Linked DNA regions of Canis lupus familiaris. The protein of the gene in region 1 purifies or fractionates together with the protein of each later gene. This does not show direct contact. Links are inferred from orthologs where the notes say so. Each region holds a gene or a part of one and is shown on either strand. Other genes may lie near its edges.

Region 1 (11,594 bases):
AGTTTTCTGGGCCTATTATAAATTGACACTCAACTCCTTCCATGAGTATTTAGGGAGTATCTACTCTGTACTAGGAACTGAGAACAAAGCAAAGGATTAGACAAGGTTTTTGTTCTCTTAAAGATTACACTCTGGTGAAGCAAATAAAAAATATTAATTTCTAACAGTGATAACTACTACTGAAGACAACCACCAGGTTAATGGATTAGTGAGAAGTACTGGAACAGGGACTTAACTTTGCAGAAACCCAGGAAGATTTCTTTTAAGGCAAAGAGGTAAAGTATAAAGTTCCTGAGGTATGAATGTAGAGGAAATATCCAAAGAATAACAAAGATAAGTGTGACTGAAGCTTCAAGTATTATAGAAGAGCACATCACCATAGAAGTTTGGAGGTAGGTGAGAAAGGATCACATAGGAACTCAAAAGCTACGGTAATGGAAAGCCACTGAATGACTTCAAGCACAGGAGGGCATGAGCTAATTTATATGTATTTTAGAGACCTAAGTGCTGCATGTAGAAAGGCAAAAATGGGGGCAGCTGGCTGACTCAGTTGGAGGAGCATATAGCAGCTGTTCATGCATTAAATGCTGCGGACTACATAAAACCTGTCCATCTTGGATGCATGGGTGGCTCAGTCTATTAAGTGTCTTCCTTTAGCTCAGGTCATGATCTCACGGCCCTAGATCAAGCCTCAGGTCAGGCTCCCTGCTCAGAAGAGAGTGCTTCTCTCTCTCTTTCCCTCTGCTACTCCCCCTGCTCATACTCTCTTCTCTCAAATAAAATCTTAAAAAAAAAAAAAAAAAAAGTCATCTCAGCAAGAGCAATTTCATGCAGCAGGGACTAAGGTTCAATTGGAATGGGTTGAGAAGACAATGAAAACCAAGGAACTGACACAACAGATCACTGTTAACTCTTTGAGGAATACTCATGCAAAAGGAAAGAAAGAAATGGAGTAGAAAATAGAGAGTGTCAGGAGGTCAAGGGGACGTTTTGACTGTTTCTTAAAACTAAAAAACAAGACATATTTGTGTGTAGATCATAAAACCAAAGTAGAGGGAAAAATTGATGATCAAGAGAGAAGAGTTAGTTGCAGGGCCTCCCTATATCATTTGAGAACTTAGCTCAGCCTCTGCTGATTTCATCATACCTATTCTCTCCACAATTCATGCGACACTCTAATCTTGTTTTGCTGGTGTTAAGAATTTGTTCTTTGAATAGCTCTATCGTTTTCTAGAGTGATATACAAATAAAATATAGAAAGCACTTAGCATATAGTAAACAATCATTAAATGGAAGCATTTTTATGTGCCTTTTCTCCTCAGCTGGAACAAAAGTATAATAAAAGGTAGAACCTTTCATATTAACTATAGTAGTGATTTATCTATATTCTAACAATTATTGCATTCCACTAAATTTTAATGATCAATTTTTTTTAATGTGAATTACCTCCATAGTTAATGCTAGACTCTGGTGTGTTGGAGATATCTAGAAGTGATCCTATAGAAAGGGAATGTTCAGCTGATGGGCGCTTACGGGGAGGAAAAGGTGACATGTCGGTCTCTCTGGAAAGCTGAGCCAGTGTCTCTTTTAAACGACGTCTTTTGCGATTGCTGTTTGGGGTATTTAGAGAAAGCAGTGACACTGATTTCTTGAGCTCAGGAGTATTAGCCTGCAATCAAAAGCACAAAAGCTCAATTTTACTTCCTTGGTTCTACACTGAGACAGGAACAGAAGAAAACTATATTTACAAGTCTGACAAAAATCTGGATTTTGCACAATGATTTTACAACTATACACTCTGCCAGGAAATTCAGAAGATTCATAAAACATAATAGACAAGGGACTACTGTAATTGCCTAATCCCAAGCACCTCATTCTGTTTCTTCTCAGCTCTATCACCATTACATATTCATCTGTAAGCTTCTTTACTGTCTAGTCCCGTTAGGCCATTAACTCTGGAGAGCAGGGACCATTCACAGTTCGTTCACTGTATCCTTAGCATTTAGCACAGTGCCTGGACAGATTGCTCTCCAGTATTTGCCAAGTAATACTTGACTTTAAAAGCTCTCTGCTAGAATTTAAAGCAGTTTTTAAACTTTATGGTCAAGAATTCTACACTGAGAACAAGAGTCAGAAGACAATATAGAACCTATCTAGATTTCATAGTAATACAATAAATCTGTACCTCAATCTTCAATATTTCGTTCAAATTAAATCTCCCACTAAAGAAAATCTTCCCTTAAAGCCTACTTCTATACCTTTATGCCACATTTTTGTAAATGATACACTCTTCCCCAATCTAGCGTGACAGGTGCATCCTTCCTTGCCTACAATCTACTACTAGAGTTATTTTTCCAATGACATCTCTCTCCTTAATATACTTCAATGGTTCCCAATACTACCCAAATTCCTTAACATTTTAAAAACTACTGGATTCTACCTAAATTGTAAGCTTTATTTGTTGGACTTCTTTCCCACACTCCTTTCAAGACCCATACTGAACCACTTGCTATTTCAAGGTACTTTCAATCTTCACATCATCTCCCACCTGCTGTCTAACTTGAATGTCCTTGCAAGATTAGCCTAATCAGTTGGTTCAACATGTGTTTGCTCTTTTCAGTCCTGCCTGAGTCTCTCAGAGTGAGGTTAGTTAAAATAATAACTCAACTATAGCACATATTCAGCACTGTAACTGTTTGTATATCTATCTTTCCCTTAAGGTTCTAAGTTTCTAAAGATAGGAATGTTATTGTTCATAATGGTATCACTAAGTAGTAGCACAAAATGACATATGGTAGATTAAAATAATTCTACTGCACTGAATAGAGTTTTGCTTAAATCTACACAAACTTCTTCAATATCTAATTGTTCAATTATTCACAAACTCTTAGACATGCCAATTATATAATATTCTTTTCAGATAGAAGTGTTATCTTTATACAATCAAAATCACAGAATGACTAAGGGACAAAAATACATACCTTTTCATATAAATACATAGTTTCTCCAGCTCGAGCATCCATTTGAATGCTTCCCCAGAACCACTAGGTGAGAGAAGAAAAACTTTTTAATTAAGAATTTATCTTATCAGGGGCACCTGTGTGGCTCAGCTGGTTAAGCATCTGCCTTCGGCTCAGGTCATGATCTCAGGGTCCTGGGATCGAGCCCCATGTCAGGCTTCCTGCTCAGTGGGGAGTCTGCTTCTCCCTCTGCCTCTCCCCTGCTCATGCTCTCTCTCTCTCTTTCTTTCTTTCTCTCTCTCAAATAAATAAATAAAATCTCAAAAAAAAAAAGAATCTATCTTATCAGAGAAGCCATTAGTAATATTTTTAAAAACCCAATCTTGGGGCTCCTAGCTGACTCAGTCAGTCATGAGTGAAACTCATGATTTTGAGTTGAAACTCAGCATGAAATGCTTAATTTTGGTATAGTGAGTTCAAGCCCCACACTGAGTGTGAAGCCTACTTAAAATAAAAAAATAAAATAAAAATAAAACTCTAAAACAAAAGCCAATCTTATTCTAGAATTACTTGCCTCCTGTTTGACAACATAAAGTTTCTTTGAAGGTTCAAATGGAAGTTCTTTTACTATATTCTCTTCAACTACAAGGTGAGTGCATCTTTCATCTCCAACAGGTAAACAGTTACCTCCTAAAAGAAATGCACACAAGCATAAGTCAAACTATTTATCTCCAAACCTGAATTTTTAAAGAGGTAGATTCACCAGGAGGTAATTAACCAAGAGTGGGGAAAAAAAATATGAACTTTTTAAATTATAGTAAATTCTACCTTGCATTTTAGTCATTTCCTCCATATTCGTTTTTTCTTCATCTGAAAATCCCAAGAAACTTAAAATGCAATCTTGAAATGGAGGTACTTTAAATTCATTTTTAAAGTCATCAACTGATGCAGAGAAATCCCTAAAAATAAAATATACTCTTCTAAAACCAGCTTAACTTAAATTCAGAAAGTATATCAATTTATACATCTATAATAATTCTGTAAGTTTTAGTATAATCTATTTATTGAAAATATTTTACGTGTGGTCCTGAAATGTTCATAAAAACATCAGTTAAAAAAAAAAAATTGGATGTGTCCTCAGTCATCCGGGAGTAAATTCTGATAAAATTTGATCACAAGTAGTCTTTAAAAGATTCAAATCCTTGCTCTGGACGTGAAATTTTCTATCTATTCCAGGGGTTCTACAGCTTTATGAAATATTAAGTAATGATGCAGCAGAATAGCAACGAATTATGAGGTTGGAAAGCTTAACAAGGTATTGAGTTGCAATCACCACTTAGAATGTAACCAAACAGAGTGAAAAAAATATAACACAACCCATATATCCAGATTCATTAAGCTATTACCTAAGAGTTTTAGAATGTTAATGATAATCAAAATTATCCCACAAGGTAAAGTCTGAAGATAACCACATATGTCTTTCAATTTTTTATGTTTTTATAACTTTGTTCCTCCTAGACTTTATTCATTAGGCTACCCAAAGACTGAATTCATTCTGTCTATACTCTTTATGAATTTAGGGTTTTGGGCACATGAGTTTACCTTCATAACATTTAATTCAAATCATGAACTACTGATTTTCTAAACACTTACTGTTCATTCCGCCTTTCCCAGGCTTTGTAAATCCACTCTGACTTCATAATTGGAGTGCCCAGGCTCACAGCAATCTAAAAACATAAAAGTTAATCACAATAAATTTGCACCTTAAATAACTGCATTCATGGAATTTCTAAACAATTTTATACATATTTTTTGAAGTTTTAAATCATTATTCATCTGCTTTATGACAAAATAAAGAAACATTAACAGAAAAACTGTCTTTCAATCATACAAGTTAGGTTAAAATAATTTAGAACAAGTTCCATGATATCCAAATCATTTCCTTATTTTAAATAAATACAACTCTGAAGTTAAAAGTTCATCTTTATTTTACTATACTTCTATTTCTCTTTTCTCCGTGTTTACTCCTTTAGAAGTACTGACCCCCAAGATAGGAATACAGAACAAAATACCTGATTAAGTCACAAGAAACTAAGATATGAATTGAAAAGTATACCTCTCAGGAATTCAACATTCCCCCAAATTACCATTTTTTACATAAATACTCTGATGGAGGGTGGGAACAAGGTGATAAGCTCTTCCTACGATATTCAAGAGCAATCTTAAACTAAGATTTTAATTCTAATAAAAGTAGTTTTTCCTGCTCTTTCATAGTTCTCACTAGTTAAACCTTAGAGCCATTTTATAAGAAGATAGCTCAGTTCTTAAGACCATTTAGGCAAGAGTGAAATAACTGCACACTTCCCAATCCCCTTATTCACCAACACTTAATAGTAACCTTTGCTGATATTAATTATCTGCCTGAAACGTTACCCATCTACCAACCTCCACAATCCTACTCATTCGCAAATCCTACTTATTTCAAGACCTAACTCAGGTTTCATTGCTTCCTTAAAACCTAAAAGACCACACTCCTAGGATTTAAAATTTTTACTAAATGTACTTAGCAAAAATTGAATTTCTGATTCTCAGTAAACTCTGAGAGAAATAGTATGAAAGTGCTGTTATTAAATCTATCCCCCCCCCAAAAAATGCTATAGTGAAATACTCAAATTTACATACCCTGAATTTTTCTCCTTGTGTACAATTTGCCACCAAATGTGTAACTTTTGAATTAAAGTCTTTTCGAATAACTCCACCCATGTGATGAACCAATGTCACCAATCTGACCTCAAAAGAAAAATTAGGCAACATTAACTTTATAATTAACTTGAACAAAATTTTAAATTATGTTTAGAAGTCATTTAGCATCTACTGAATAATTTTTATTTATAAGGTACATACAATAATTTTTATTAAGATATGAATTTTATGTCAAAAAAAAATTAAAGATTCATTTGCCTTATTGGCACAGGCAAAATTATACATAGAGATAAGGTAGTAGAGATGACTGCACAAAACTTAATGAAATTAAACTGGCTTTCATACATCCAAAAAGATTGTTTTTTAACACTAGGTTATATCACACCTAGATTCTTCCCACAAATTACAGTAATACCCTAATAGCTCCAACACAAAAAATTTTATGAATCAAATAAGTTTCTATGAATTCTCTAGGGCAATGAATATACATTAAGGCTGGACTTGTATAACCAAAAATTGTAATGTGTTAACAAAAACTTCAAATAATATGCTCAGTGGTACTTAGCACAAAGACAATTTAAGCAGATCAGATAGTAATAAGGTCTTTCTATTAATTCATATGCCTGCCATCCTAAACTAAATGTTTCTTTAAAATGCTCTTCAGAATGTTTCTTCATAAAATTTAAAATAGCACATTCATAAATTCTCCTTCAATATGTTTTAAATAAAACCATGATATAATTAACCAAACAAAATATCAATTTAAATTTATTTGGCTGGAAAAAAATTATTCCTTGAATAGAAGGTTTTAAAATACTTACTAGTTCTTCTTTTTTTCTAAATCCAGTAAAGCATAGTACTAGATTCATCATGCTCGTACAATAGAGTGGGCGACATGAAAAAGGCAAAGGCTGAAGGATATAACAATTTTAAATCTGTGAGCTTTCTTTAGAGAATAGAACACATATTTCTCAAGCTAAGACGTACTTCCCCCTCTTGCCAATCAACTTTGTTAATCCAAGATTTCTTGTGTTTTTCAAGATACAACACAGATTATACATGCAAATTTCTGTTCACAAAGATCACATGTGCAGGTATATGAATTAGAAGCGTGTGTCTAGGTTATGGCCAAACTTTTTAAAATGCAGAAATGTAAAATTACATCTTGAAATATGAAGAGATGGTCTACACAATTCAAAAATCAAATGTTGCTTATACCAGATGTATGACAGCTACAGGATTCAAGTGACAAGCAATAAGATCTCAAGAAATTAATACTGCTCAAAGAGAACGGGAATATTTTTACATTTCACTGAAAATACATTGACTACTAGAATACAGTGCACATGTGACCTTTGTGAACAGAAATTTGCATGTATAATCTGTGTTTACTTGTAACTTTCTGGTAATATACTGCTTATATCTGTGGATTCAAGTTTCTGAAGTGAATACCAATAAAAAAAAAAGCTTAAAAAAATAGCAAAAAACATATTACAAAGTTTACAATACAAAAACCCCTCATAATTCCCAATTGATATTTGGCACACATAATCTAAACACACCTTACTACTGGCAATTTAAACATATTTATACACAAACTTTCAGTTCTAAAATATACTTTGACACAAAGTTTTACCTACTAGGAAAATTTCAGACTCTATACAGTATTGTAAATGTTTCCAAATTAAAGTTACAACAGTTTGAAATATTTTATAATGAACACTATGTAAATTACACATATACTTGAACCAAATATGATTCCAATTTTTGAGCTATAAAAATGGAAACAGTAATAATTTAACCAAGGGAGATATATACATAATGGAAAAAGAATGGTTAAAAAATATGTTTAAACCATGAAGTAACAAATAAAAATGGAAATGTATATACATTCTATGGAAGAAAATAAGTTTATATACGTGTATACATTGCTGGAACCCAAGTTTTAAGAAATTCTCTCCCCCAGAAGGTATTAAGACATATATGTGCATATATACACACAAATATATGATTGTCATTATTAAACGTCTTAAGATTTTTAGTCCTATGAGTTACAATAGAAAGATTTTAAAAACTATCTTAGAATAACAATTACTAACCTTATTCTAACTATTACATACTCCTAACAATTAACAGGATTTTTCTGGTAAAGAATTTTCACAAAATTCATTAATAAAAATTTAACCTTGAAAGTCATAATAAATGTATATTTTCTTACCTCTCCTTTTTGGGCACAGTTTAAGATAACTGGTGGTCCAACAATTCTATGATCCATCTTGTGTAACTCATTAAAAACAGAATCCTGGAAGTCCGTGACTATGAACACATTTTCAAATTCTGGAGAATCCAAGCCTTCAAATTCTTCTAGTGATTCCATCTTTACAAAGGGCACTTTAATTTCCTTGATTTTTTTCAGGTGGTATGAGAAATAAAAATTTATAATTACAAAATTAATTTATATAACTCTAAACCTAAAATCAATTCACTATCAATATTTTTATTTTTAGAGGTGTAGTAAACTTGTAAATCACACAATGAGCATTATACTTAATAGCAAACAGCCTTATTTACTTATTTGTATTTTTATAGATACATATATCCATCCATATTGATATTAAATTCTGAATATTAATATTATAAATTTTTAACATGACTTAAGTCATTATAAATCTAATACACATATAAAATTTAAATGATTTTTATATGTACATATTTTGATAGTAGGATGCATTAGAAAGATATCCAGTATTATTTTTTTTAAAGATTTATTTATTCACAAGACACACAGAGAGAGGGGCAGAGACACAGGCAGAGGGAGAAGGAGGCTCCCTGCAGGGAGCCCAATGAAGTACCGGACCCCAGGACTCTGGGGTCACGCCCTGAGCCAAAGGCAGAGGCTCAAACACTGGGCTAGCCAGGCATCCCTCCACTATTACTTTTTATTCTAAGAAAATGATGCCATACTTAACAGTTCTTTGTTCATAAATCATCTTCAGAATGATTAATAGAAATAGAAAAAATACTATGCCACTTAGTATCTACAAAAAGGGTATAGGTTAACTTAACCATTTCAGTATATATGAGGGAAATAAGAGATATGAAATAAGCAGGCAGTTGCTGTGTGACAAAATGTAGGATATAAAAAGGCTTTATGTTTAATATTTTATAATGTACATCTAAGATAAAAAATAAAGATATTAAGGTACCTGTATGACTCCTGTTCAAAAGGAACGGAACTATTTTAAAAGAAAATTCTGAATTGGTCAGTAAATTGTTTTGGGCTTTATTTGCTAGGCTGATGTGATGAGCTGAATTGTATGTCCTTGAAATTCACACTGAAGCCCTAACCCCCGCCCCTGTACCTCAAAATCAGACTATACTTGAAAACAGGGCCCTTTAAGAGGTAATTTTGTTCAATGAGGTCATGTAGGTGGGCCCTAATCTGATCAAATTGCTGTACTTATAGAAAGAAGAAAGTCAAGGACACAGAGTTATCAGGGATGTGCATGCCCAAAAGGGCCATGTGAAGTCATAGAAAGGTGGCAACCATCTGCAAGCCAAGGAGAGAGGCCTCAAGAGAAACCAAACCTTTCAACATCTTGATCTTGGGACTTCTAGCTTCCCGAACTTTGAAAAATACATTTCTGTTGTTTAAGCCACCCAGTCTCAGTATTTTATTACAGCAGCTCTCACAAACTACTACAGCTGGTATACAGAATATATTTCATATGCAGAAACGAATTCCCTGATGACTCTCAAGTTATTGTGATTTATATATATTTTTTTAAGATTTTATTTATTTTATTTGAAAGAGAGAAAGAGCACATGTGCATGAGCAAGAGGAAGAGCCGGGGGAGAGGGAGAGAATCTCAAGCAAACTCCACACAAAGCCTGCAGCCCAACATGGGGCTCTATCCCACCACCTCAAGACTATGACCCAAGCCAAAAACAAGAGTTGAACACTTAACTGAGCCACCCAGGTGCCCCAGCAATTTATAATTTTGGAAATAGAGCAAGAATTTGGAATAAACATAAAATTAATGGGGAAAAAAATGCTAAGAGTTAAGGTAAGAAAAACACCATATATTTGTGAATATGTGTGCCATTTAAATTTAACAATGCCAAGTTACTGTGTAAAGAATTCATACAATATATACTATAGTTTGAGGTTTCAGAAATACTCATATTTTTAAAATAAATATAAATGATTCTATTCATCTAGCTTCAGAGTGCAAAATATACCTTGTGCCTAATTTAGGTCCATTACCATTAAGTGGAATTTAAGAATATAATCAAGAGTAGTGCAGCATGCCACATGCAATGAAATGCTTGACCTACCATATTAACAATACTTTTTATTAATTTTTCATCCGACTTTCCAGGACAACTTTCTCTTATCTTTATAACAGGGACTTCCATTATTTTAATGGTCTGTGGAAAAGAGACTTAAGTATAAGATAAAGAAAACTATAAAATTACTTAAATATTGATGGAAGAAAAATAGTCTTTCCCTTAAAAAACTAAAATTCCATACCTTTAAAGCTTTTATAAGTTCTTCTTGTTTTCCAGCGTCTTGAACCAATATCATTCTGGTTTCGATTTGAGGCATTTCTTCTATTAAAAATAAAAATATTTAAATATGTTTATCAGGTACTAACATCAAAATTAACAGTTCTTAATCCCTCTTTTGGCTAAATCTGGCATGTATTTCCATCTTTGAGATCATAATATTCTCTAAAATTAAAACGACTTAATTCTGTTTATTTTTTAAAATCACTTTAGAGAAAGAGAAAACAAATTGCAGCAGAGTATACAAACATCAGCACTCCTCTTATCAAAAAAAAAAATTTACTCTCTTGCACAGCTATCCTCTTCAAGCGCATGCAACTTCAGGAGACCCATTTATAAAGCAGTTAAGGGAAGAAGTGGCTCTTCACCTAACCAGTCATAATTGAATAAATTCTAACAGTGTTGCAGCTAGACTGCCCTCATACAAGGAAGAAGCAATATTCAACAATAAGATGCTTTCTCCTTCCAAGGTGGAAAGCATTGATCCAAATAGTAATCAAAAATCTACATAGTATAAATGGCTAAAGTCAAAAACACAAGAAACAACAGGTGTTGGCAAGGATGGGGAGAAAAAGTAGCTCTTGTGCACTGTTGGTGGGAATGCAAACTGGTGTGGCCACCCTGGAGAACAGGATGGAGGTTCCTCAAAAAGTTACCTTATGACCCAGCAATCACACTACTGGATATTTACCCAAAGAATACAAGAACATTAATTCAAAGGGATACAGGCTCCCCTATGTTTATAGCAGCATTATTTACAATAGTCAAATTATGGAAGCCAAGCATCCGCCATCAGTTGGTGAATGGATAAAGATGTGGTGTATATATAATGGAATATTAGTCACAAAAAAGGAAATCTTGCCATTTCCAACAACATAGATGGTGCTAGAAAGTGTAATGCTAAGTGAAATAAGTCAGAGAGAGACAAATACCACAGAACTTCACTCATGTGAGATTTAAGAAACAAAACCAGCAAAGTGAAAAATATGAGAGACAAAGCAAGAAACAGAAATTATAGAGAACAAACTGATGGTTATCCCAGGGCAGGGGAGGGGGCTAGATGGGTTATGAGGACAGGAGATCTGGAAGTGTTGAATCATTACATTGTACACCTGAAACTAGTTTCACACTGCATGTTCACTGGAATTTAAATAAAAGCTTAAAAAAATCTACAAAGTATAAAGAGATTCTGTCAACAAATATTTACTGAATAACTGTAGTCTGCTTAACAGTATTACAGTGAAATCCTAAACTCCAAATCAGAAAATTTAGGATTAAAATAGTGATTTGGTGTTTTGTTTTGTTTTAAGATTTCATTTGTTTATCCATGAGAGACACAGAGAGAGAGAGAGAGGCAGAGAC
Region 2 (12,131 bases), on another chromosome or scaffold:
CAGTTTCTTATAAAGTCAAATTCATACTTATAATAAAGACCAGCAATCCCACCCAAGAGAAATGAAAATCCCTATCCACTTAAAGACCTTTATGCAAAGAATTATAATTGGGGTACCTGGGTGGTTCAGTGGTTGAGCTCTGCCTTTGGCTCAGGTAGTGATCCCAGGGTCCTGGGATCCAGTCCTGCATCTCCCTCTGCCTATGTCTCTGCCTCTCTCTGTGTCTCCCATGAATAAATAAATAAAATCTTTTTTAAAAAGTATACCATAATTGCCAAAAGGTGGAAACAACTTAAATGTCCATCAGCTAGTGTGGATAAACTGTCATGCATTATACAAAGGATTACCACTCAGCAGTAAGAAGGGACCATGTTACTGATATGTGCAACACACACTTAAATATCAAAAGTATCTTGCTCAGTGAAAGAAGAGACCTTCTGGAAAAGTTAAAACTCTAAGGAAGTCAGAAAAGTGGTTGCCACAGGCTGGGGGTAGAGGAAAGTGATAGACCCCAAAGGGGCAGCACAGAGAAAGCTTTGGAGTGGTGGGAGGATTATACATCCTATAGTGGCAGTGGTTACAGGCCGCTGTGTTTGTCGAATACTAACACGGTACAACCGAAAAGGGTGGATTTTACTGGACATAAATTATACCTCCATAGCCTGACTTTAATAGAAGCCTCTCAGTTATACTACCTTCCTGTCTCCTACCATTATCCGTGGTCTGGATATCTAATTCTAGGGGAAAGTGCAAATCTTTTTTTTTTTTTTTTTTAAGATTTTATTTATTCATGAGAGACACACACACACACACAGAGAGAGAGAGATTGGGGCAGAGACACACAGGCAGAGGGAGAAGCAGGCTCCATGCAGGGAGCCTGATGTGGGACTCGATCGATCCCGGGACTCCAGGATCAGGCCCTGGGCCAAAGGCAGGCACCAAACTGCTGAGCCACCCAGGGATCCCTGAAAGTGCAAATCTTTTACTGGCTTTGGGGAACCCTTTGGGGGAAGAGATAATGTGTTAGGTATGAAATGCCTGTTTCTTTTCTTTTCCCTTTTTTATTTTATTTTTTATTATTACTATTTTTTAATTTTATTTTTTAAGAGAATATGCCAGAGGGGCGCCTAGCTGCCTCAGTCAGTCTTTGCTTCAGGTCATGATCCTGGGGTCTTGAGATGGAGCCCCACATCAGGGTCCTTGCTTGGCAGGGGAGCCTGCTTCTCCCTCTCCCTCTGCCTGCCGCTCCCCCTGCTTGCACGTGCTCTCTCGCTCTCAAATAAATAAAAATAAAAATAAAATAAAGAGAATAAGCCAGAGAGCTTTAGTATGATTAGAAGCGAGGAAGAAAAAACTGGCCAGAAGAGCTGGGGGCTCCATGTAACTGGATCCTCAGCTGGATTGGATGCATCGATTCCTTCCAAACAAGAGCCTCCGTTGCTGGGTGCCAGGGTGCAACAGCACCACCTAGTGAGGCTGTGGAGATGAGCTGGTAGCGGGCACAGAAAGGAACAGTGGTGACCAATCTGAACAAAGCAACAGGTGCTGGGAAGGTGCAGGGGACCGGGGTGGATGGGGGGTGGGGTGGGGAGGGTGGTATAGAGTAGGGGCCCAGCATCCAGTGCCAGGTCATTGACAGATCTGCTGAGAACTGAGAGTAAGGAGGCATTGTCAGAGGAAGGCAGGGAGGAGAGCTTGCCAGCAGAGGGACTGCTCCATGAGCCTGGGGCACGGAGAGGTAATGTGGTTGGAGGGGTGCTGGGGGCCATGACAAGTGATGGGCTTGGAGAGGAAGAGCCTCAGAGCCCTGTGGAGGGCGTCTAGCCATGGGGAGCTACTGCAGTGTTAGAAGCAGGGGAGTGACATGACCAGATCTGTGGTTTATGAGTAGGTTCGGAGGGTAGCAGCAGGGAAGCCTGTTGGATTCCTATTGCAGTCATCCATACTGCAAGATGCTGAGTAGCCAAGGGGATGGAGAGAAATGGATTGAGAGGTTTGAAGGCTATTTAATAGGTAGAACTTTCAAGATGTGGTGAGTGGATGGTTGGAAAAGAAAGAGAGGCAAAAGTCCAAGATGGTACCTGGGACCCTAGGCTTGGGTGGCTTGGGTAGATGGTGATACCATCCACTGTGGGGTAGCAGGTTCAGGGGAAGCAATTAGGGTGCGGTAGGTATGAGGTGCCTGTGGGACACCCACACGGAGAATCCAGAAGGCAATTGGACATATAGGTCTGAAGTGGACAAGGACAAATTTGAATGGTATGTGAAGCGAGGAGAGTGACTGGGGGTGCCTGAGGAGAGGCCTCAGCTAGTGACCAGGTCAAAACCCTAAGCTACAACATTTAAGGGACAAAATACAAAACAACACACACACACACAACCCCCCCCCCCGCAAAAAAAAAAAAAAAAAAAAAAAAAAAACCTCACAAATGAGTTCTGAGAAAGAGGGGCTTAGGGAGCTTAGGAGGAAAAAAAGCTGAAGGCATAGGAAAAGAGGAATCAGTATTTTTTGTGCTGTTGAGAGGTCAAGTAAGGTAGGGTGGGGGGTGATGGTCTTGGTGAGAAGAGTTCCAAAGGAGAGACCAAGGCTACCTGCAGGGTAAAAGAGGTAAGTAGCCAGCAGCTACACCCAGTTCCTAAATAACACAAATCCCAACCTGCCATTTAACAACAAACTTCTGATGGTTCAAAGGCCTATACATAAAAAAAAAAAAACAAACGAACAAACAAACACACGCAAAAAAACCATAAAAGCATCAGGAAAGACCATCCTTGTGTGTAACAATATGGGCCAGGGATATTAAATTATGTCCATTTCACCGGTGTCCAGCGAGGAGATGGGCCTAGAGCCCCGTGAGAACACAGATGTAGACACAGATTTGAGAGCGATGGGCCAAAGTGGGGTAGAATCTGTCCATTTTAGGAAAGAGCTGCTCTGGCCATTGCTCTTCAAGGGCAAGGCCCAAACTCCATCCGTTCATCTCTGTATGTGGCCACACAAAAATTCAGCGGGGTCATTGAAAAGATCAACTTGGCTTGACTCGCGAATCGGGGGGCATCCCATCCAGCAAGCAGAGAGGTGCTCCCAGGACCCTAAGTGGAAGGGTCTTCATAGGAGGGAGGGTGGGGCCAGGGAGGGGTCAGTGACACAAGAGAAAGGACCTGGGGTGGAAGGCGGTGGTGGGGGGGGGGTCCTACTCTGGGCATCATCTCCTCTTCCTCTTCCTTTGGTGCGGGCGGGGAGAGGAGGGGTCCCCGTGACAGGTGCCCTCATGGGTGCCCTGGCTGACCCGTTCTGACCACGCTTCTGGGGGAGGGGGGGCTGGGGCTCCATCTTGGGCGTGGGGTTTCCTTTATCACAGCGCCGGGGATCAGGCATTGGATGGAACAGCGCGTGTCTGCGGAAGGGCCGGGGGCAGCGGCGAGGGAGATCCGGGGAGGGTGGAGGCACAGGGCGAGCCCGCGTGCGGGGCGGGGTGGAGGCCAGGTAGGGGGCCCGCGGTGCAGGGCTCGGCTCCCGGGCGGGAACGCTGCGGGCTGGGGGGTCCCCCGAGGCCCTGCCCTTCCAGCCGGCTTCCTGTGCCGCAGGGAAAAACCCCGCAGCCGCCCGGCGGGGAACGTGGGAGGGGGGGCGGGGTCTCAGCGCCTCCGAGGTCCGCCCCGCAGCAGCACCTCCCGCCCGCGCCCGGCGGTCGCCTAGGAGACCAGCCCCGCTTCCGGCAGAGCCGGCACGTCCTCCGAGGCCACGCCCCTTTCCTCCGAGGCCACGCCCCTTTCCCCGCGGGCGGGCGCTGATTGGCCCGTTTGAAATGCGCCGCGCGCGAGCTCACCTGGGCTCCCGGAGCGCCGCGCCTGGGCCGCCGGGTCCCGCTTCCCGCGGTCCGCCGCCCCCGCCGCCCCCGCCGCCCCCGCCGCCGCCGCCCCCGCCGCCCCGCAGAGCCCGGCGCCCGCCGCCATGAAGCCAGCGTGAGTACCGGCCGCGTCCCCTCGGTCTGCACCGGCCGCCGGCCCCGGAGGGGGAGCCCCCCGCGTGGGCGCGGCGCCCGGGCCGCGGCGGCCCCTCCCCGGGGGCTCTGTGCCGGGTGGGGCCCCGCGACGGGGGCGCCGCGGAGGTGCGGGCGCGGGGGCGGGGGCGGGGGCGCGGGGGGCCCTGGCGCCCTCCAGGTCGAGGCAGGCCGAGCCCCGGGAGCGCGCCGGGCGCCGGGCCGCGTGACAGCCCCGCCCCGCAGGCCCCGCAGGCCCGCAGGCCGCGGCCCCACCGCCCGGGAAGCAGCGCCCGCTGCGGCAGAGCAGCTGGTTATCCTAGGGGCCCGAGTAAAGACCTTCTAGCTTAAAAAAAATATATATATATACACACATATATATATATTATATATATACACACACACATATATATACACACACGTATATGTATACATGTATATATGTATATATATGGGATATGTATATATACATATATATGTGTATGTATATATATTGAGTTTATGTATAATATACATGTATATATGTATGTGTATATATATTGAGTTTATATAGAGTATATATGTATTATTTATGTATATATGTATATGTATATATGGGATATATATATGCATATATGTGTATATGTATATATATGGGATATGTATGTGTCTATATATGTGTATGTGTATATATACATACTGAGTTTATATATATTGAGTTTATGTATAATATGTATATATACACATATGTATATATGGGATATGTATGTATATATACATGTATGTGTATGTGTACATATATATTGAGTTTACATATGTATAATATATGTACATGTATGTATGTGTATATATATTGAGTTTATATAGAGTATATATATGTATTGTATATGCATATATGGGATATGTATATGCATATATATGTATATGTGTATATATAGGGGATATGTATGTATATATACATATATATGTGTATGTGTATATATATTGAGTTTATATATATCGAGCTTATGTATAATACATATATGTATATATGGGATATGTATATGCATATATATGTAAATATGTATATATGGGATATGTATATATACATATATATGTGTATGTGCATATGTATATATATATTGAGTTTAGGAGACCCACTATAATATTTTGTATTGGAAACGCTAATTGGCTTGCTTGTTTGGTCTCGAAACGTGTCGTGAAAATACTTGATTTTCTATGCAGTCTCTGCGGCGCTTAATTTTACTGTTAAATGTTCATCTGCACTATTGATTTCTTAACCGGTCGGGGCTGGCGGTGTGGAGGAAAGCCGACAGCCTGATTGATGAAGCCCCAAAATAGCTTCTGATTGTAAGAGGGCAAGAAATGGCAGTGGGAAGACCCAGTTGTGTTCGAGGACAAAGGATGATGGCTTAGAGAACTCCGATAATTTGTTCCTTGAATGTGTAGATGTACATCTTGCTGAAAGAATGGATTTCTTTTTTTTTTTTTAATCATTTCGTGAAGTTGATCACCTGTCAGCCTGCCTTAGCGATGGATGTTGGGGCAGTGTGTGCGCTGGTGTGCCTGTAGGTCTTGAGGATAAACCAGGTCTCAGTTATCTATGGATTTTTCGAATCTGTAGTGCTTCTGTAAAATTGTCGTCCAAGAAAATATGCAAGCTAGTTTAAATATAGAAAATTATCTAGTACCGAAGACGTCTCCTGAACCCAATTTGCCATACTTTTGCATTAGGTGAGCCACATACATTCTTTTTTTTTTCCCCCACAAACATTCTTCTAATGCAGCTTATTTTTAACGTTATTTGGGGTGTCATGTTTTAGAACTGCTCAGGGATAACTTTATAAACCCAAGGAAGACTGTCTCTGAATTATAGGTGAGGTTTTTGTATGTTATTTTGAACTGATTTTTTTTTTTTTTTTAACCTGTGACCAGGAGGACTAAGACGCCCAGGAAACTTCTAGTGAAGAAAGGATCCCAAACAAGTCTTAAAGACCCAGTGGGGGTAAGGTCTCCCTGTGAATTTGTGTGTGTGTGTGTGTGTGTTTTCTTCTGTCCTCTTCTGTCTTCTGTGTATGCTTGGAAGGGATGGAGCTGTGGAAGCAGAGTCAGAGAACATTAGTTAAATGGGTAAGTCTGGTCCCAGCTTTAAAGTTTTGTTTCTATATAGGATTCATTAGTAAAATGAAGTGTTTGGGTATGTCAGTTGCATAACTCCTATAACTAACTATAACTTGAAAAGTTAGATAATGAAAGATATTCTTCAGCTGTCCCGGAGAATTCTTCTACTCTCTTGGAAGGCAGGGAAATTTCTGCTTGGATGAGCATCCTCTCCCATCTTTGGGGCTTTTAAATAGTGACTGATGGTATGCTCCGTAAAGACACTGGTGTAGAACAGCTTAATTCAGTCTAGTAACTCATCATAACTGCATGTACTTCATGAGTTTCAGGCTTTGGGACTTTCTTTTAAAGACAAATGGCAAATAAAAGAAGGTTGTTTTGCCCTGGGATATTTTTCTCTCTCCTTCACTGGCACCAGAATGTGTCTCTTGTTCTAGGTGGGGGGAAACTGATGCTTTGCATTTTCAGCTGAATAGTTCTTCCTCGACCCTATCACTGATTAAGAAGATGTGTTTCAGATGATGTGCTTACTCATTTGTATATTATACTTATTTGTATATATGTTACATTTGTTGGTATATAGTGTTAAGCTGTCAAGTTTTATTTGATATCCAATATCAACAAATTCTAACAGCTTTTCAGATAATTCTCATTGTGTGATATGTTATCAATTTTAGAGATTTTTATATTAGTGGTAATATAAATTTACTCAATTTGTGCCAGTATAATAGTGATTTGATGCTTTTGTCATCCAAATTTATTTTCATTGTAAGTGTATTTAAAGCTCCTCATACCTGATAGATCTGTTTATAGCTGACAATGTCTGGTAGCAAGTTTTGGTTTTCATAGCTCTAAGTTCATATAAATCTCTTATGCTGAGAGACCAAATGTTGGATGAGTGAATGAGAAGCTTAAATGCAAAGTAGTCAACCTTCATTCTGGAAGCACATTCCTGTAATTTCAGGTGTACTGTAGGGTGCGCCCACTGAGCCTTCCTGATCAAGAGTGCTGCATAGAAGTGATCAATAATACAACCGTTCAGCTTCATACTCCTGAGGGTTACAGGCTCAACCGAAATGGAGATTATAAGGAGGTAATTCCCATTGGAACCAAGCTGTTTTTACTTGAGATGTTCTCTCCTGAAATGGCTTTTCCATTTTTTTTTTAACATTTAACACAATTCACATTTCTACTTTTTTTTGAAAAATTTGTTTACTTCCCTCTAACCTCTATATATAAAGTGTGGATAGGCTTATGTTTGGTATTCTTTGAGTTAGGGGATTGCTTATATGAGGCAGTTTCTTGTACTGGATATTTATTGTTTTTTAGAGCATAGGTTTGGGATCTTGAATGATTGTGCTAGGTCGCTATACATACAGACACACACACAATTTCATGTGCAGATTAAAATAGCAATAGGCGTTTTGTATTTGTTTTGACCTCCTTTGAAGTGTTGTTTAATAAAATCTTGAGCAAAGTGAGTTTAGTTCAGTTCAAACATTGCACTAAAGCTGCAGGGCAGAAGGAGATTTTCAAAAACGAGTAGGACACAATCCTTGCCTTTATGGGGCTTTCAGCTGAGTTGGGGGCACCAGATAGAAAGGGTAACCTTTATATAGATAAAATAAATCAGTGTGCTGAAAGAGCTGGACTATGGGAGTGCAGAAGGAAGCATGGATTCAGGCTGTTGTCTCTCTGTTGAGCTGCCTTTCACCCTCATGCACCCTGCTCCTGTGAGACTGTCAGAAGCCCACAGTGGCCTCTGGATTGCTCACATTGGATGGACACCTCTTGTCATAATCCATTTGTCAGCAGGACCATCCTTCCTGAAGCCCTCTTCCGTCTCCCCATCCAGGTCTCTATGTTCTCAGCTGTAACTGGCCACCCTCTTCAGGTTCTTCTTCCTTTTCTAACCTCTCAGTGCTGGGGTTGGCTACACCTAGGGCTCTTTTCTCTACCCTTTCCCATGGCTTTAAATGTTGCTTATAGTTCTGGAGGTTTTTTTTTTTTTTTGTTTTGTTTTTTTTTTTAAATTTTAATCTCCAGCCTAAACCTTATGTCTGCTCTAAGCTGGAACATCCACTGTTTGCATGTCATGTAAGCATCTCAAATTTTATGTGTCCACAAGAACTCTTGATTTTTTTCCCCCTCTAAATCATTTCCTCATTTCCTCTCAATAAATGGTAGTACCGTGCGTCTCCTGCTTGTATCCCATTGACCAGTACATTCTGTAAGTTCTGCTCCAATGTGAAACTGTCCTTCTGTTTCTATCTTCACAGCCCTTGTCCCTGTCTTAGCCCTGCTGTTAATCACCAAGACTAGTGCTTCTCAAATGATCTGTGGTGGAGGAACAGCTTTTTAAATTTTTCAGTGCATTGTGATTGGATACTTTTGTGCAGCTTTGCCATCTGAATTAGACCATGGAGAAGTGATTTTGTAATCTGTTCAATGAGACGAGCCTGTTGATCACATGCTGGGATGTTGCAGCCATGTCAAATGGCTAGAAAAGTTTCTAAACTTCAATTTCTTTAATTCTCTCCTCCTAGACAGGAAACAAACCAGTTCTCAGAGGGGCACTGATTTGCTGACCATACTTTGAAATATAACTGGACTGCCTGTTTCCACTCTGAATCTTATTCTCCAATCCATTTTCCACAAAGCCACCAAAGAGAGCTTTTAAAGTATAAATCTGGGCAGCCCCGGTGGCATAGCGGTTTAGCGCTGCCTGCAGCCTGGGCTGTGATCCTGGAGACCTGGGATCGAGTCCCACATCAGGCTCCCTGCATGGAGCCTGCTTCTCCCTCTGCCTGTGTCTCTGCCTCTCTCTCTCTGTCTCTGAATAAATAAAGAAATAAATCTTAATAAATAAATAAATAAAGTATAAATCTGATCTGACCCTTTTCCTGTTTAAAATTTTCAAGGCATAGTCGTTAAGTGAGCAAAATCCTGCTTAATTTGCTCTATTTCTCTACTGTCAACTCGTCCTAGTCATCCAGTCCTGAGTTCCTTGGATAAGCCCAAATCCTGTTTCAGTGCGGTCCTCTTGGCATGGACTTTTTCTTTCTTTTGGCTCTTAGCATGAATGGCTCCTCATTTGTGGATTTCAGCTTAAACATCTCCTCCTCAGAGAGAATGTCCAGACCACCTTATCAGAAGTGGCACCCTTCCCCGCTTCTGTCCCAGTCTGCCCTTTATGTGCTTCCTTGATAGCACTTAGCACATCAAGAGTTTTATTTTCTCTCTCCCCTGCTATAGTGTAAGCTTCAGGGGGATGTGTGCCTTCTCTGTCCTGTTCCCCGTTCAGTGAATATTCAGTGGACGAAGGATGAACATTCTGGGACAGCTTCATGAGGAGTGGGCCTTCAAAGATGTCAAATAACTGAGAACTGACTTGCTGTGAAGAACTTCACTTCTCTGTTAGATTAATTTCAAGTATGTAAAGTAGACAGAAAGCTTGGTGGGGATTAACAGTTCTTTCTCACTGCCTTGTGACAGGAGGCAGAGCTGCACTGGAAGTGGCTGTGACACCAGTCAGCACTGCAGGCTTGGGCAAGTGCCTCCCCTTGGGCTCAGTTTTCTTTACTGGAAAGGAGGGCTTTGTTCACAAGGACTTGGAGGTCATCTGGCTGAGCTGTCAGCACTATTTTTTGTGTATCCTTTCCATCCTAAGATTCCTTATTCTTGTGAACTCTACTGCTATTTTTACAGGATTGCAACAAAACCTTCCAAGAAATGAGAGTTAGCCTAGCTGAAGTAGGTGTGTGATCTTTAACAAGTTTTAAAATGAGCATGGTAATTAGCAGTATCTAATCACAGGTCAGAGTTAAATGATTCACTGCCAAGCTAAGGCAGTGCTTGGCACATGCTCCATGCTGAGAGTCACCTGTTGTATTGTGTATTTGAGTACTGATCTATACTTGTTTCCTTTTGGAGACTGCTAATTTTAAAAACATAAGGGTCATGATAGTCCTATCTGTACAGGCTGAATTTAAGGACAAGTGTATTTAACATAGGAAAGAGGGGTGCTGCTTGACAAAGGCTATAGTCCGTAATAGATTCTAGTGAATGCTCACCACTGACATTTGTGAAGTAAAAACTGTGAAATTCAGGAAGATCACAGAAACACTTGCAGTATTTCTCCAATACAAGAAAACAGAAAAAGAACAAAAACAGAAATAACAGAACTCCAGCCCCTGTACAATTAGGACAATTCAATTTACATGAAAATATATTTATATACCCCAGCCCCCAAACTAATTTTCCAAGTAGGAGTTTGGTAATATTTTAGGTAATATGGTTATAACTTTATAATACTCATATTTTGATAGAAATTTGATAATTGAAGTATTGGTTTTTTTTAAAGGTCACAATTAACATTTCTTTCATAGAAGAATTCAAATGAGATTATAGTTCATTTCTTTTTTTTTTTTTTTAATTTAAGATTTTATTTATTTATTCATGAAAGAGAGAGAGAAGGTGAAGCAGGCTCCATGCAGGGAGCCCGATGTGGGACTTGATCCTGGGTCTCCAGGATCACGCCCTGGGCTGAAGGCGACGCTAAACCACTGAGCCACCTGGGCTGCCCCCACATTCTCTTTATAAGGGATATAACTGAGTCATGTCATGACTTTTTTAAGGGTTCCAAGTTCAAAGACTTTATGTTTTCTGTGTGTCTAGATTTTAAATGTTCATGAAGAAACATCTGAATACATTTAAACAGATATATTTCTAGCTTGGATAGAGGGAAAGCCCATTCATATGCTTTTTATTTTTTCCTTCTTCACAGACTCAGTATTCATTTAAACAAGTATTTGGGATTCATACCACCCAGAAGGAGCTTTTTGATGTTGTGGCTAATCCCTTGGTAGATGACCTCATTCATGGCAAAAATGGTATGATTTATTGGAGTTTTTGTTACATTTTCTTTTTTATCCCCCTCTGATAAAGCTTTTTTGATACTTATATATTTGGTTATGTTTGGTCTTGAATTCAGGTTTAATTTGTTAGGGTGGTATAAAACCTGCTTTTTAAAATTTTAAATTTTTAAGTAGGCTTCACCTTGGGTATGGAGTTCAATTCGGGGCTTGAACTCACTACCCTGAGATAAAGAGTCAGATGCTTAACCAACTGACCCACCCAGGTGCCCCTAAAGTCTGCTTTTTTGAGGTGGTTAATTTTAAGAGTTTTTTTAATTCAATGAGTAAATATTAAAAGTGGAGGACTTTTAAGGTATAACCAAGCGTGACTTTTAATATATATTCCATGTGTCTTGCTCCATTGTAGGTCTCCTTTTTACCTATGGTGTGACAGGAAGTGGAAAAACTCATACCATGACTGGTTCTCCAGGGGAAGGAGGTCTGCTTCCTCGCTGTTTGGACATGATCTTTAACAGTATAGGGTCATTTCAAGCTAAACGATATGTAAGTATAATTTTTTTGTGTTGTGACTATTTATCTCGAGGACAAAGGGACCAAGATACCTGTAAATACAGTAGTGTTAAAGGAAAGCAATAAACTGGATACATTTTGAAACCTGAAATATTAAATGTTTCTCATTTCTTAAATGTGTTTCTTGCTATTTAAGTCAAATTCTACAAAAATCTTGGTCTGATTTTTACCCCCACTTCAGGTTTTTAAGTCTAATGACAGGAATAGCATGGATATACAGTGTGAAGTTGATGCCTTGTTAGAACGGCAGAAAAGAGAAGCCATGCCCAATCCAAAGACCCCCTCTAGCAAGTGAGTATTCACATCTGTATGTGACACTGGCCCAAGGGGAGCCCTGTGTGGTGGTGTCTTCAGGCATAGGGAATGATGAACATGAAGGAGAGTTGGTCTGACAGTTGACTTTAGTGAGATCAAAATTGAAGGATTTTTTTTTTTTTTTTTTAAGATTTTATTTATTTATTCATGAGAGACATAGAGATAGAGGCAGAAAAACAGGCAGAGGGAGAAGCAGGCTCCCTGCAAGGAGCCCGATGCAGGGATCACACCATGAGCGCTCAACTGCTGAGCCACCCAGGTGTCCCAAGAATGTTCCTAAGTTTAT

The links.
Region 2: the proteins of ECT2 (region 1) and KIF23 purify together in Homo sapiens (co-immunoprecipitation; 3 studies listed by BioGRID and IntAct, with this or other methods). This does not show direct contact. The link is inferred for Canis lupus familiaris from reciprocal best matches to the Homo sapiens genes ECT2 and KIF23.

What each region holds. Positions count from the first base shown.
Region 1 is NC_049255.1:37,149,273-37,160,866, reverse strand, and holds part of ECT2 (protein ECT2), read right to left. Parts: intron 10,278-11,594; coding exon 10,198-10,277; intron 10,095-10,197; coding exon 10,002-10,094; intron 8,065-10,001; coding exon 7,882-8,064; intron 6,575-7,881; coding exon 6,485-6,574; intron 5,751-6,484; coding exon 5,643-5,750; intron 4,688-5,642; coding exon 4,614-4,687; intron 3,920-4,613; coding exon 3,789-3,919; intron 3,651-3,788; coding exon 3,535-3,650; intron 3,045-3,534; coding exon 2,982-3,044; intron 1,670-2,981; coding exon 1,447-1,669; intron 1-1,446. UniProt on the Homo sapiens protein: Guanine nucleotide exchange factor (GEF) that catalyzes the exchange of GDP for GTP. Promotes guanine nucleotide exchange on the Rho family members of small GTPases, like RHOA, RHOC, RAC1 and CDC42.
Region 2 is NC_049251.1:33,740,983-33,753,113, forward strand, and holds the start of KIF23 (kinesin-like protein KIF23), read left to right. Parts: upstream 1-3,913; 5' UTR 3,914-3,955; coding exon 3,956-3,966; intron 3,967-5,897; coding exon 5,898-5,967; intron 5,968-7,047; coding exon 7,048-7,176; intron 7,177-10,869; coding exon 10,870-10,975; intron 10,976-11,366; coding exon 11,367-11,503; intron 11,504-11,711; coding exon 11,712-11,821; intron 11,822-12,131.